2 linked regions of the Xenopus tropicalis genome follow. The protein of the gene in region 1 interacts with the protein of each later gene in a pairwise test. Links are inferred from orthologs where the notes say so. Each region holds a gene or a part of one and is shown on either strand. Other genes may lie near its edges.

Evidence for each region.
Region 2: the proteins of get3 (region 1) and asph interact in binary tests that used the Homo sapiens proteins (3 or more experiments, as listed by UniProt). The two-hybrid records come from large-scale screens. The link is inferred for Xenopus tropicalis from reciprocal best matches to the Homo sapiens genes GET3 and ASPH.

The regions. Positions count from the first base shown.
Region 1 is NC_030679.2:140,436,251-140,443,177, reverse strand, and holds the end of get3 (ATPase asna1), read left to right. Parts: intron 1-805; coding exon 806-956; intron 957-1,367; coding exon 1,368-1,475; intron 1,476-1,716; coding exon 1,717-1,914; intron 1,915-2,576; coding exon 2,577-2,708; 3' UTR 2,709-4,060; downstream 4,061-6,927.
Region 2 is NC_030682.2:117,474,964-117,483,028, reverse strand, and holds the end of asph (aspartyl/asparaginyl beta-hydroxylase), read left to right. Parts: intron 1-1,809; coding exon 1,810-1,848; intron 1,849-4,650; coding exon 4,651-4,955; 3' UTR 4,956-5,431; downstream 5,432-8,065.

The sequences.
Region 1 (6,927 bases):
CCCCTCCCACTGCAGGGTGATACAGTGACACAGAGAGGAGGGGGCTATGGGATATGGAGTCTGCCCCTCCCACTGCAGGGTGATACAGTGACACAGACAGGAGGGAGCTATGGGACATGGAGTCTGCCCCTCCCACTGCAGGATGATACAGTGACACAGACAGGAGGGAGCTATGGGACACTGAGTCTGTCCCTCCCACTGCAGGGTGATACAGTGACACAGACAGGAGGGGGCTATGGGACACGGAGTCTGTCCCTCCCACTGCAGGGTGATACAGTGACACAGACAGGAGGGAGCTATGGGACACTGAGTCTGTCCCTCCCACTGCAGGGTGATACAGTGACACAGACAGGAGGGGGCTATGGGACATGGAGTCTGCCCCTCCCACTGCAGGGTGATACAGTGACACAGACAGGAGGGAGCTATGGGACATGGAGTCTGCCCCTCCCACTGCAGGGTGATACAGTGACACAGACAGGAGGGGGCTATGGGACACGGAGTCTGCCCCTCCCACTGCAGGGTGATACAGTGACACAGACAGGAGGGAGCTATGGGACATGGAGTCTGCCCCTCCCACTGCAGGGTGATACAGTGACACAGACAGGAGGGAGCTATGGGACATGGAGTCTGCCCCTCCCACTGCAGGGTGATACAGTGATACAGACAGGAGGGAGCTATGGGACATGGAGTCTGTCCCTCCCACTGCAGGGTGATACAGTGACACAGACAAGAGGGGGCTATGGGACATGGAGGCATTATTGCTAACACATATGTACATATATTTAAGTTGTGACTGTACCCACAGGCTGGTGAAAGGGATGAATTTCTCCGTAGTGGTGTTTGACACGGCTCCCACTGGACACACCCTGCGTCTGCTCAACTTCCCCACCATAGTAGAGCGAGGCCTGGGGCGCCTCATGCAGATCAAGAACCAGATCAGCCCATTTATATCACAGGTGAGATACTGGAAAGGCAGGTAGTGGGGGGTATGTGGGGGGCCATTGTACTAGAGGCATAAAGACCCGACTCATTCATTGCACTGAGAGGAAGGCAGTTTGTTTGGCTCATAATAGAACTGAGCCTAATGTAATAGGGACTTAGAGTGTAAGCTCCACTGGGGCAGGGACTGATGGGAATGATATATGTTCCATGTACAGTGCTATGGAGTATGTTGGTGCTATATAAATAAAGGATACTCTCACACATCTGTTCCATACAGCCATTATACATCCTGTGGCCCTTTAATAAGTAAGAAGAATAATAATGTTGTTTTTTCCCTCCAATATTTAATTCATATATTTTTTTCCCTGGCAAGTTCCTTTTGTCTCTTCGTCTGCCTGACCCCATTCTGTTCCGCTCTCCCATAGATGTGCAACATGCTGGGACTTGGCGATATGAACGCCGACCAGTTGGCCTCCAAGCTAGAGGAGACGCTTCCCGTGATCCGGTCTGTCAGCGAGCAGTTCAAAGATCCGGTGAGCATTCAGAGCTTGCGTTGTTTCTCTATGGAAGATAGAGGGCGCTGTGCCATAGGGTCTTATTGAAAGGGAAAGTCAATGTGAGATTTATTTATAAAAGCCCCATTGATTTCTAGCTGAGGGTTCTGATTTAAAATCATCTAGGGTCCCACTGATTGGCAGATTCTACTTTAGTCTGACCTATACAGCTTTTTAGAATTGTCATGGTAACAATTGGATGATTGTTTCCTGCGCACAGGAGCAGACCACGTTCATCTGCGTGTGTATCGCCGAGTTCCTGTCACTGTACGAGACCGAGCGCTTGATCCAGGAGCTGGCCAAATGCAGCATAGACACTCATAACATTATAGTCAACCAGCTGGTATTTCCCGAGCCAGAGAAACCGTGCAGGATGTGTGAGGCCAGGCACAAGATCCAATCGAAATACCTGGACCAGGTAGGAAATAGAGCTTGTCCCTCCCACTGCAGGGTGATACAGTGACACAGACAGGAGGGAGCTATGGGACACGGAGTTTGCCCCTCCCACTGCAGGGTGATACAGTGACACAGACAGGAGGGGGCTATGGGACATGGAGTCTGTCCCTCCCACTGCAGGGTGATACAGTGACACAGACAGGAGGGGGCTATGGGACACGGAGTCTGTCCCTCCCACTGCAGGGTGATACAGTGACACAGACAGGAGGGGGCTATGGGACACGGAGTCTGTCCCTCCCACTGCAGGGTGATACAGTGACACAGACAGGAGGGAGCTATGGGACACGGAGTTTGCCCCTCCCACTGCAGGGTGATACAGTGACACAGACAGGAGGGGGCTATGGGACACGGAGTCTGTCCCTCCCACTGCAGGGTGATACAGTGACACAGACAGGAGGGAGCTATGGGACATGGAGTCTGCCCCTCCCACTGCAGGGTGATACAGTGACACAGACAGGAGGGGGCTATGGGACACGGAGTCTGCCCCTCCCACTGCAGGGTGATACAGTGACACAGACAGGAGGGGGCTATGGGACACGGAGTCTGTCCTTCCCACTGCAGGGTGACAGACATATGTATGAGACCTACATTGCTGCCTCTCATTATCTGATTGGTTCGTTACAGATGGAGGATCTCTATGAAGATTTCCACATTGCGAAGCTCCCTCTTCTTCCTCACGAGGTTCGAGGGGCAGAAAACGTAAACACCTTCTCAAAGCTCCTGTTGGAACCCTACAAGCCCCCCAGCGGGAAGTAGGCATGGAGAGCGGCACGGGGGGCGATATTTCAGAAACCCTCCAGCTGTTTATAGAGAAGAGTCGGACTGGCTGGATGGCACTACTCACACAGGAGGGGGGCTCCCTGACCAGCACCCACCCATGTAACTCCTAATCACCCCAAGGCTACGTCTATTTATTATAACTGGATTTAGGGGACCTGACCTTTAAGCCTCCCTCTCGTTTGTTTTATTTCTATTGTCTTGGACAGTTGAATGCCTTTGTTTTTCTGGCTGTCTCACTTTATTTCTCTGTGTGTCTGTCAGTCTCTTCCTCTCGTCTGTCAGGCCGTCTGGCAGTCTCTTCCTCTCGTCTGTCAGGCCGTCTGGCAGTCTCTCACCTTGTCTCTCTGTGTGCCTGGCAGTCTCTCACCTTGTCTCTCTGTGTGCCTGGCAGTCTCTCACCTTGTCTCTCTGTGTGCCTGGCAGTCTCTCACCTTGTCTCTCTGTGTGCCTGGCAGTCTCTCACCTTGTCTCTCTGTGTGCCTGGCAGTCTCTCACCTTGTCTCGCTGTGTGCCTGGCAGTCTCTCACCTTGTCTCTCTGTGTGCCTGGCAGTCTCTCACCTTGTCTCTCTGTGTGCCTGGCAGTCTCTCACCTTGTCTCTCTGTGTGCCTGGCAGTCTCTCACCTTGTCTCTCTGTGTGTCTGGCAGTCTCTTCCTCTAGTCTGTCAGGCCGTCTGGCAGTCTCCTTGTCTCTCTGTGTACCTGGCAGTCTCTCCTCATCCCTCTGTGCATCTGGCAGTCTCTCCTCATCCCTCTGTGCATCTGGCATTCTCTCTCTTTGTCTCTGTGTGTCTGGCAGTCTCTTCCTCTAGTCTGTCAGGCCGTCTGGCAGTCTCCTTGTCTCTCTGTGCATCTGGCAGTCTCTCTCCTTGTCTCTGTGTGCCCGGTAGTCATTTTGTCTCTGTGCCTGGCAGTCTCTCACATTGTCTCTCTGTATGCCTGGCAGTCTTTGGGAGTCTCTACCCTTTGCAGAACTAATCCTTTAACTCCCACCATCCCCAGATGCGGCAGTAGGAGGTATTAGTTCAGCAGTCTCTGGGGTGTTCATGGCCCTCTCTCTTTGGGCCTCTTTCAGCCTGGAGCTCCCTTTGTTTCTGGTAATCTTTTTGTCTCTCATGCGTTGTCTAACCCCCCCTTCCCATATTATCTAACCCCCCCCCCCCCCTTAGCCAAGAGAATGGCACGGTCTGTGTAAGTTCTGAGCATGACTGCCCCGCAGACTAGAGCTGACATGTATTGCAGTTGCACACTGTCCTTTCTGCCTACTGCCCCCTACTGGGCGGCGGGGTGCGGGGCAGTTCTTAAATTAAACTCTTTGTAAAACATGTAGTTTGAGTCCGGGTTAATCTCTAGCTCTGCGCCAGTGTCTCTGGATACACGGACGTCATAGACAAACATTGGACGGAACATTCAGGCAGTGAGGGTTGGGGGCCACCATGTTTGGTTGTGGCACTTCTGGGGGCTGATTGCTTGATAGGGGCTGGTCTGTTTCCCCCAAACATGGCAGCCATCAAGCCCATTCGGTAGATCTGCTTTTAGGCAGTTGGGAAATGGGGTAAGGGCAGGACCATATTTATAATAAGGCACCTGAGGGTCTGTGCCTAGGGGGCAGGGCCTATGGGATGTCACGCACACTGGGGCAGCACTAGACCTAAATACACCCCTGGGTAAGGGGCAGGAACGGCTGATGTGGGGGGGGGGGGTTGTTTGTAGAGATTGGTTCCAAGCATATCTGCCCATTTGTGGCTGGAACTTGTACGGCAGGGGTCTATTTGTAACCCTGCCTTCAGCAGACATCATGGAGTCCTATGAATCCTGAATTCCTATTGGCCGCTGAGAGAACCTACCCTACCTATTGATGAGTAACTGAGGAACAAATCGATCAATATTTCTTTGTTACATACAATGGAGCTGGGATTGTAGTGTTCTCAGTCACACTCAAGTGTTGGTGTCAAATGTGAGGCACAGGACTAAGATACAGATACAATATTGGGAGAAGGGAATCCTGCCCTGCAGAGCTTACACTCTAATATACAGAGGGGCACAGATACAATACAGGGAGAGGGAACCATTGGGAGAAGGGAATCCTGCCCTGCAGAGCTTACACTCTAATATACAGAGGGACACAGATACAATACAGGGAGAGGGAACCATTGGGAGAAGGGAATCCTGCCCTGCAGAGCTTACACTCTAATATACAGAGGGACACAGATACAATACAGGGAGAGGAACCATTGGGAGAAGGGAATCCTGCCCTGCAGAGCTTACACTCTAATATACAGAGGGACACAGATACAATACAGGGAGAGGAACCATTGGGAGAAGGGAATCCTGCCCTGCAGAGCTTACACTCTAATATACAGAGGGACACAGATACAATACAGGGAGAGGGAACCATTGGGAGAAGGGAATCCTGCCCTGCAGAGCTTACACTCTAATATACAGAGTGACACAGATACAATACAGGGAGAGGGAACCATTGGGAGAAGGGAATCCTGCCCTGCAGAGCTTACACTCTAATATACAGAGGGGCACAGATACAATACAGGGAGAGGGACCCATTGGGAGAATGGAATCCTGCCCTGCAGAGCTTACACTCTAATATACAGAGGGGCACAGATACAATACAGGGAGAGGGAACCATTGGGAGAAGGGAATCCTGCCCTGCAGAGCTTACACTCTAATATACAGAGGGACACAGATACAATACAGGGAGAGGGAACCATTGGGAGAAGGGAATCCAGCCCTGCAGAGCTTACACTCTAATATACAGAGGGGCACAGATACAATACAGGGAGAGGGAACCATTGGGAGAAGGGAATCCTGCCCTGCAGAGCTTACACTCTAATATACAGAGGGGCACAGATACAATACAGGGAGAGGGAACCATTGGGAGAAGGGAATCCAGCCCTGCAGAGCTTACACTCTAATATACAGAGGGGCACAGATACAATACAGGGAGAGGGAACCATTGGGAGAAGGGAATCCCGCCCTGCAGAGCTTACACTCTAATATACAGAGGGACACAGATACAATACAGGGAGAGGGAACCATTGGGGGAAGGGAATCCTGCCCTGCAGAGCTTACACTCTAATATACAGAGGGACACAGATACAATACAGGGAGAGGGAACCATTGGGAGAAGGGAATCCTGCCCTGCAGAGCTTACACTCTAATATACAGAGGGACACAGATACAATACAGGGAGAGGGAACCATTGGGGGAAGGGAATCCTGCCCTGCAGAGCTTACACTCTAATATACAGAGGGACACAGATACAATACAGGGAGAGGGAACCATTGGGGGAAGGGAATCCTGCCCTGCAGAGCTTACACTCTAATATACAGAGGGACACAGATACAATACAGGGAGACGGAACCATTGGGGGAAGGGAATCCTGCCCTGCAGAGCTTACACTCTAATATACAGAGTGACACAGATACAATACAGGGAGAGGGAACCATTGGGAGAAGGGAATCCTGCCCTGCAGAGCTTACACTCTAATATACAGAGTGACACAGATACAATACAGGGAGAGGGAACCATTGGGAGAAGGGAATCCTGCCCTGCAGAGCTTACACTCTAATATACAGAGGGACATAAATACAATACAGGGAGAGGGAACCATTGGGAGAAGGGAATCCTGCCCTGCAGAGCTTACACTCTAATATACAGAGGGACATAAATACAATATAGAACTAATTAGTTTATGGAAAAGTACATTTAGCCTGTTGGGTTGTGCCTATAACACATACAGTAGATGCCTGGCAGCCCTGCTGGATTTTGCAGACATTCCCCCACCCTGCGCTGTTTTGATTTTTTACACTTAATTGCCCTTAAACAAAACACAAGAGTGGGATGGGGGGAGGAAGAGGTGCACCTGACTGGGACATTAAGTTCCAGACATTGTAAAAGTAACGTCTGCTCCCCTGTAACATTCCCACCCTCATCCATGTCTGGCCTCTCTGCAACCACACTCATATAGACCAGAGGATCTCAACCTCCCTAATGCCGCGACTCTTTAATACAGTTCCTCATGTTGTGGTGACCCCCAACCCTAAAATATACCTAATGTGTTTTACGACGGTCTTAGGCGACTCCTGTGAAAGGCCAAAGGGGTCCCGACCCACAGCTTGAGAACCGCTGATATAGATCCTTTATCCATGGAACCTAAGCACATTTTCTGCATTGTCACA
Region 2 (8,065 bases), on another chromosome or scaffold:
GGCTCAGTGTGCTCTGGGCTCTGGTTAAGAGGAACTGTATATAAATATTAGCAGAAAGTAATGTTATATTTCAATTAGGTGATGCTACAAGGCTTATTATTAATTCTGATATAAAGGGCAATGGTCTCTTATGCTGCCACATACTGTGAATCTGGAAAACAATTGTATTGAGCAGAACAGGGAAAAAAAATGTGGGGTACTAAAAGAAGATGAACTTGAGAGTCTTCAGGGAGAAGTAAAAAAGTAAAGTTAAGGAAATAAAATAGAAGGAAAGCTGAGGGACATGTAGGTGAGCTGTGTAGTGGGCTGAGACTGGAAGTGGTGCAGGCTTTGCAGGGACTGGAAAAAAGCAATTGCACCAACTGACTGAGCCCAGCAATCTGTGCCAGAACTGTTATCATTTCATCATTTAAACATTTTTACAAAACTAATACATTGATAGTTAGTCATGTTCACCTGCAGGTATGGGATGTGTTATCTGGAAACTCATTGTCCAGAAAGCTCAGAATTATGAGAAGGCCATCTCCCATAGACTCAATTTTAATCAAATTACTTTTTGATTTTTAAAAATATTTTTTTTTTCTCTGTAATAATAAAACAGGACCTTGATCTTGATTCCAACTAAGATATAATTAATCCTTATTAGATGTAAAACAATCATATTGAGTTTAATGTGTAAATTATTTTTTAGCAGACTTAGGGGCTGATTTACTAAGACACAATTTCGAATCCGAATTGGAAAAATTCCGATTGGAAACGAACATTTTGCGACTTTTTCGTATTTTTTGCGTTTTTTTTTCGGCGTCTTTACGATTTTTGCGTAAAAACGCGAGTTTTTCGGCGTCTTTACGATTTTTGCGTAAAAACGCGAGTTTTTCGTAGCCATTACGAAAGTTGCGCAAAGTCGCAATTTTTTCGTAGCGTTAACACTTGCATGCAAAGTCGCGCCTTTTTTGTAGCGTTAAAACTTAAAAGTTTTAACGCTACGAAAAAATCGCGACTTTGCGCAACTTTCGTAATGGCTACGGAAAACTCGCGTTTTTACGCAAAAATCGTAAAGACGCCGAAAAACTCGCGTTTTTACGCAAAAATCGTAAAGACGCCGAAAAAAAAATCGCAAAATTACCGATCATTACGAAAAAAACGCAATCGGACGCATTCGGCCCGTTCGTGGGTTAGTAAATGTGCCCCTTAATGTATGGAGATCCCTTATCTGGAAAACCACTGTCCCCGTGAATTCTGGATTAAAGGTCCCATACCTGTATATGCAGACATTTATAGCTTATAAAATACACATTTTAAAAGACAATACCTCTGCAGAATACAGTGGTACAGCGCATTTGTTAGTATGTAGATTATGCTGTGGGAGTCATTGACCCTACAATGCACAAAATATCCCCACACATGAATATTAGATATTAAAGTGACAAAGTTCAATATATGTAATTTATAAATAATAGTAAAAGTATAGACGGAATAAAATCTGTTTGTTTTCGTTTTTTTAAATAATGGATCTGGACTCCTACTGCATCTATGCATGTGTGTAAAAGATATAGATCTATATAACTAACCGACAAATAAGAATGATCAAAACATAGTGGCCCTTTAACACCCTGCTGGTTAATACCCCGTTTCTTTGCTGGTCAAGCACAGTTACAGTTTACCTAGTGCCTGTGACCACCATTGCACAATTGTCATTTGAGAGTAGCATGTATTTTATCCCCAGTTTGTTATTAATGGAATAAATTTACTTAAGCTTGTATTTTTGTGGTTTGTGTTTGAAATATATGTTTATTCTGTAAACAAAAGGAGAAGAGCCAGGAGGATTAGCCAAAACAAAGACAAAAGGTATTTTGCACAGTGATTTCTTTGTGTTGTATGATTTTGTGTGAGTTTTACAGTATAGCGTGTGTGCTCTTACTGACTTAGAATGCACTCTACAGATCATACAGATCATTGATGTTATTAACATTATTTAGTTTTTATTTGCTTGTCCTTCCTTTTCCAAATCACCAGGGTTAGAATCTTTTAGCCTGAAATCACCATGATTTTAGTGGCATACACTCCCATGGATGTGAGGCTTTTGTTTTTTTTCAGTTTGCTGGGGACATTAATTTATACCTGCCCTCCATGCAATTTGGTTTTATCTTTAACACTGTAGAAATCAGTAAACAATAATATAATCTTGCACAGACTAAAACTCAAAGTAAATGGACAGCTTACAAAAATCTACTGAAATGAAATGGAATTTGGTGTTATGCTGGCCATATATTGTAACATACGCTCGTATGGCGAGGTTGCGAAAGGAGCAAATAATTCTCCGGTATGCTCATCATAAGGTAGGCTTATGCCCAAACAAGCAGATCATAACAATGGGTATTCAGGCCATCAGGGCATGGGCTACATCCACGAGCCGATGCGGTCCTCACTCCAATTGGATTTCTGTTAGGTTGTACAACATGCTGACTCAAACGGAAGAGGCTGAATCAGAAGCTTAAATCTGCCTGTGTATGGCCTCCTTTTAGACTAATTACCCAGATCATGTGGCATGTGTGCTATTAAATTAAGAGTAGGTTTTATTTGAATACGTAATTGAATATGCAGTAAGGGGCAAACTTGCACAGCAGTGTTTTATTCATAAACCCTTGCAATAGTGCACGAAGGGGGAGATTTATTAAGACACGAATGCTCGGAGCGTATTTTCGGCAACTTTTCCGTACGCTTGCGTGAAAAATTCAGAAAGGTTCTGCCGCTGTTTACAATTGTTTGGTACGAAAATGTTGTGACTTTCGGATCGCCAATACGATATTATCGTGACTAATACGATTTTTTCGTAAGCATTTTCATGATATTTGCGATCTTCAGAAATTATCGTATTTAATCCGAATTTTTCCCATTCGGGATTCGAACTCGTGTTTTAATGAATCGGCCCCTAAGTCTTGTGAGTCAAACTGTTACATTTGTTCTTTATTTGACTGTGTTCAGAGTTTGGCTAATGAAATATTTAAGCAAGCAAATTAGATGTCCCTAAACTCAAGGGACTGGAACTGTGACCTGGAAATGTAATTGGGTGTAGTAAATATTAATGCAGAGAGAGTCTGCAAGCTTACAGTGCTGATTCCAATTAGAATCCAATTAAAATGGTGAGAAGTGTTAGGAGCCATAGAGTAGATCGGTCTATTTGGACATCACCTATTTATCGATGACAGAAGAGGAGGTCCGGAGATATTATAGACTTTTTTACTTTGAGTCTAGTCAAGTTAGGTTTTTTTTTATTTATAAAGCACCAACATATTTTTCACTGATGTAGTAATTATCAGGTGTATCAAGAGTAATATTACAGAGTAGAAGAATAAACCTGTAAAATTAGTCTGGTCTCTGTAGTCCTTTGTAGTGATGAAAGCTTGTGGTCTTTCCCCCCCCCCCCCCAATGAACATACAAGTATAAAGATGAGCACTCAAATGCCCACACTTTTTCAGTCATACATTTGTGACCTAATGAAAGTATTGCATGTGTATCTGTGCCTGTCTCCAAGAAGCTATGACATTATTTTATTTAATTATTTTCACATTTATTAGAGCTTGGAGTAAAGCATGACTTTTGCACTGCATTGTGGCAGAAGAATGTAAAATTTAAATAATTATCAATAGATAAATTTGCCAAAAAAATGAGTGTGCTGTTATACTAACAGTGAGAAGCAAAATGCATTGCTAGTATGGCATGTTTAAAAGGCAAATCATTTTCATAACACATACACAGCAACAGTGTTATGAGCTATTGAGCTGATGCTAACCTTGCCTGGACTTACACTTGCCTTATTTCCACTTCTAGTTACAGCTATTAATATGTATTTATGATAGGTTGCTATAGTTTTGTCAAGTTGGATTCATGTACAGTCATTTTTTACCAAAAAATACAGTGACCTAACATTAAAGGGTAACTCTGGCTTCCGAACCAAAATTTGTGAAAGAGACCCACACAACACAGAAACCCCTAATATACCTATCACTGTAATCTGTTAAAGTATGAATAAATAACATTTTGCTATGCTGGAATCTAGCTGCAAAACAGTTCTTCTCTTTCTGCATCATTTGAAATCCAAGCAGGGGAGACAGGACTAAAACATTGATGTTACAATTATAACAACAACTCTACAGCTTACAGACAGCAGAATAGTTTGCATCTCAAAGTAGTCAGCCAGATCAGCAGGAGAACAGGGGGCTAGGCTTAGGCAACTGTTCCAAACCATATTGTTACATTTAAAAATCATGTAACTGCTGCATATTTTTTATTGATGTATATTGCAAAGTTGCTTAAAATTATATTTTCAAAAAGCTTAAGTTATGTTTGGGTGGTGTTCCCCTTTAATGTAACATTACTTTTTTTAAAGTCTACAGGATGCAGGTTTTTTACATTGCCTTTTGTATTTGGGGGAAACTAAAACAGGCTTTTTATGGCTTTATGTTTGTGGTACCCAGTTGTGTTTGTCACACAGGCTTTATATAGTTATTTGTTTTAAAATTTTGATTGGATATTATCAGGTAAACTACAGTGTTTCTGTGACTAATACAGACCTTGGGTTTCTTTATTGTTCTTAGTTGCTGATTTAACTAATACTCCTTTCTATTTTAAACATACAAAATATCAAGTTAAAGAGGAAATTAAAGAGCAACTTAAAAAGGTGAAAGAAAAAATTGTAGTTCAGAAAAAAGAGCCAAAGGTTGCAGAGAGGAAAAAGCCGGTGAAAGAGACAAGTGACAAGGCCAGAAAACCACAAGAGGGGGGCAGACCCAAAAAAGAGCAGGAAAGGGATGAACCACGCCAGAAGAAAGATGAAAAACATAAGGAACCCGTGAAAAGGACCACGAGTGGGAAAGCAACTGAACGGGAGAGGGGGAAAAGGCCAGAGAAGAAAGAAAACAAAGATTCAAAGAAAGATGACAAAAGGAAATGAAGCTGCTGTACTAACCCCAGCAGGACGTACTGTAATGTTTCCAGCAGCTTCTCACACAATCTCTGCACGTGTGTGTGGAAATGCACTTTACCATTTGCCGAGAAGCTGCTTCGTTATAACACTAATTGCACTGACTGCTTGAGTAGGCCAAGAAATGCAAAACAATGTTATAAGGGTCTCCTTTAGACATGTACATAATCTACTATACTGTGCTGCAAATCGTGTGCATCTTTATGCCAAAGGATTTAAATGCAGGCTTCTAGATCAAAGCTTTGTTTAGCCAACAAAGCATGTGCAAAGCCAACAAAGGATGTGCAGCTTACCCTTGCTAGGGTTCTGCTTTCATTGCAAGAGAGACAGATTAGTTGTATGTGCATTAGACTAAGTAGTGATCGCGCAAACTGTGATGCTTTCTTAGTTAAACAATCCTGTAACTAGAACACATGCTTCAGTTTCAGAATAAACAGTCATTGAAATGTTGTGCTTGGTTTCTTGAATGAAATTTGTCACAAGCTTGCTTATCTTCCAAATCTGAGTTTTGGTCTTTCAGTTTCATGTTGCATCCTAAAGAACATTTTATTAACAGAAATATAAAAAACACATAGACGTATTGCTACTCATATTGGGGAGAATACCCTAAAATTGGTACGGGAATGAGAGGATGGCCAGAAAACTTGCGGATTACCGAAACCATCTTCGTTTTAACCTACGATGTTGGACCGAGAGGACCGATGGTTTGAAAGAGGCCATTTATGCCAGCCTGGAAAAACCATCCCTGAACAGAGGAGGGGGCCTGCGACACTGCTTGTTATCTTTCTGGTGTTTTCTGTTCAAATTCAGAGGGTATGACACATTTTTAGTAGTGCAAACATACTAGATAGTTTTGGTGTTTTTTCCCACTATGTGGTAGCACTAAAGATATTGTTTGGCATTTTTTTTTTTTATGGCAAAATTTCTGGTTTTATACAACATGATAGTATTTTGTATGTTTGTCACATAATTTAACATAACTTCATATGTAATAAAAGGCACAGAGTTTGCCCAAGTGTAGGAATCCCTAGCAACTAATAGTAAATTTTCTTTTAAACAGATGACCAGTAAATACGAACTATTTCTTTGCTAAGGGTAACAAGGTTTGTAGCAAGCTTAACAGATTTTATCACATTTTGAAGAACAAGCTTCAGGCTTTTGTTTTAATGATCTGCTGTTGAAGACGTGACCACAGTTCTCATCCGAGCTCATCTCTGTGTATTTGCTTGAAAGTAGATGTTATTGATGATATTGGTTGAATATAATAGTTACAACACATGGTTAATATGAATTGATGCTTTGATGACATGAGCAAACAATGGCATTATTTTAATTGTAGGATTAAGGTAAACATATGGGGCATAATAAGCAAAGTGACAAGTAGCAGTAGTTTTTTTTTTTTTTTTTTTTTGCGTTGTATGCAAAATTCCTTCTATTCATTTCACTAAATAACATATTGTCACTATGCTGGTTATCAAACAATGAATTGTGGATGCTTATTAAAGTCCTATAACTGGCATACACAGGGTTGAAAGAAAGGTCTGTTTTGGTGCCACCTGCTGAAGACTCTGAAGATGACCATCCAGCAACACAAGCTACAGCTGAACCAGGTAAGCGGTTTCAGAAAGATCCAATAAGAAGGCCATTGATGCAAAGGCGTCCTATATTTTCCTCTCATAATCTCTATACAACGTGGTAGATAAAGGAAATAAAATAGAGGGATAGGAGTGCATATCCACAGAGTATCAGACATAGTACATCAAGTAATCTGTTTGGCTCACAGCTATAAGGCTTGCATATCAGCCTATAGTTTTAAGCTTAAAAATACACTCACCTGTGCATTCCTGTCTCCAGTGGCCACTGAAGAGAAGTAGAGACACTCTGCACATCCAGAACTTTTTTACCTTTTACCCTAGCTTGGCTCGCCTTTTCTTTAAAGGAGAGCCACTTGACTACCTTTTCCTAGCTCTATGGTGGCGGTTGGCAACTAGGAGTATGTGCAGTTGTACAATACACGGGAGCACTTGCCAGATTGGTTTAGCTGCAACAGGATGTACCATGCTCCTACGTCTTCAAGCACCCCCGATCCAATCGCAGCTTAGCCAATATCAATAGAAAGTAGACGGAGCACCGGAATCATCATATCCTTAAAAAGTCACACTACTACGGTGCCTTCCAGCAAATCCATTCCGTTGGTGTGTATATTTAAATTAATTTGCTGGGAGGCACCGTAGTAGCTTCTGATGAAGTGGCGAGAAGCCATGAAACGCGTTAAGCTGTTGGTGTAAGACTCTGAGATATTTTGAATTGACCCAATACAAGTGACTTTTTAATGAAAAGGTGATTCCAGTGCTCTACTTTCTATTGATATGTGCAGTTGTACTCAGGACTAGGTCAGCTTCAACTGCTCAAGCTTCTGACTGCCAAAGAACAGTGGTTTGTTGGCCATGCACAGCCTTGTTCACTTGTTTGGCTAGTTTGCACTATGACCACCTGTGTGCTGGGCCAAGAGTGCTGATCCAAACATTGGTTGAAGGGGACAAGGACTGCATCATCGTGCCAATAAGGTTTTTGTCCAGTGGGATTTTTTTTTTTTTTTAAACTTGCCCAAATGATATTTAGATGACCAGTTTATTCTAAAGGCTAAAAAAAAACATTTCTGCTCCAAATCAGTCCACTTGATCTTGAAAAGGGAAATTTATTACAATGTACGTCTATGGGAATTTCCTGCAATGAAATAATTGCATTTCCCTAACCTTTCACTTAGGCAAAATAAGTTAATAATTAAATAATTTTTTTCATAAAGCTCAATTATGTAATGTTATAGCCAATTCAAATATAATATGTCCAGTAGACTGATAGTACATTTTATTACATTTACACACCTACGTTCTGTCCCCTGCTGCCCATCACCAATATAGTGCTGAACAGTGCAGTTTGTGCTGTATTTGGGAGGAGAATTGCAGGTCTCTGCATTCCAAAATGGAGCACAGTTAGAGGCTTGTGGCAGGTTACACAATGCAGAAGTGCAAAACAAAAATGGCCAATTGTGGCTTGTAGCTAAGTTAGATAATGTAACA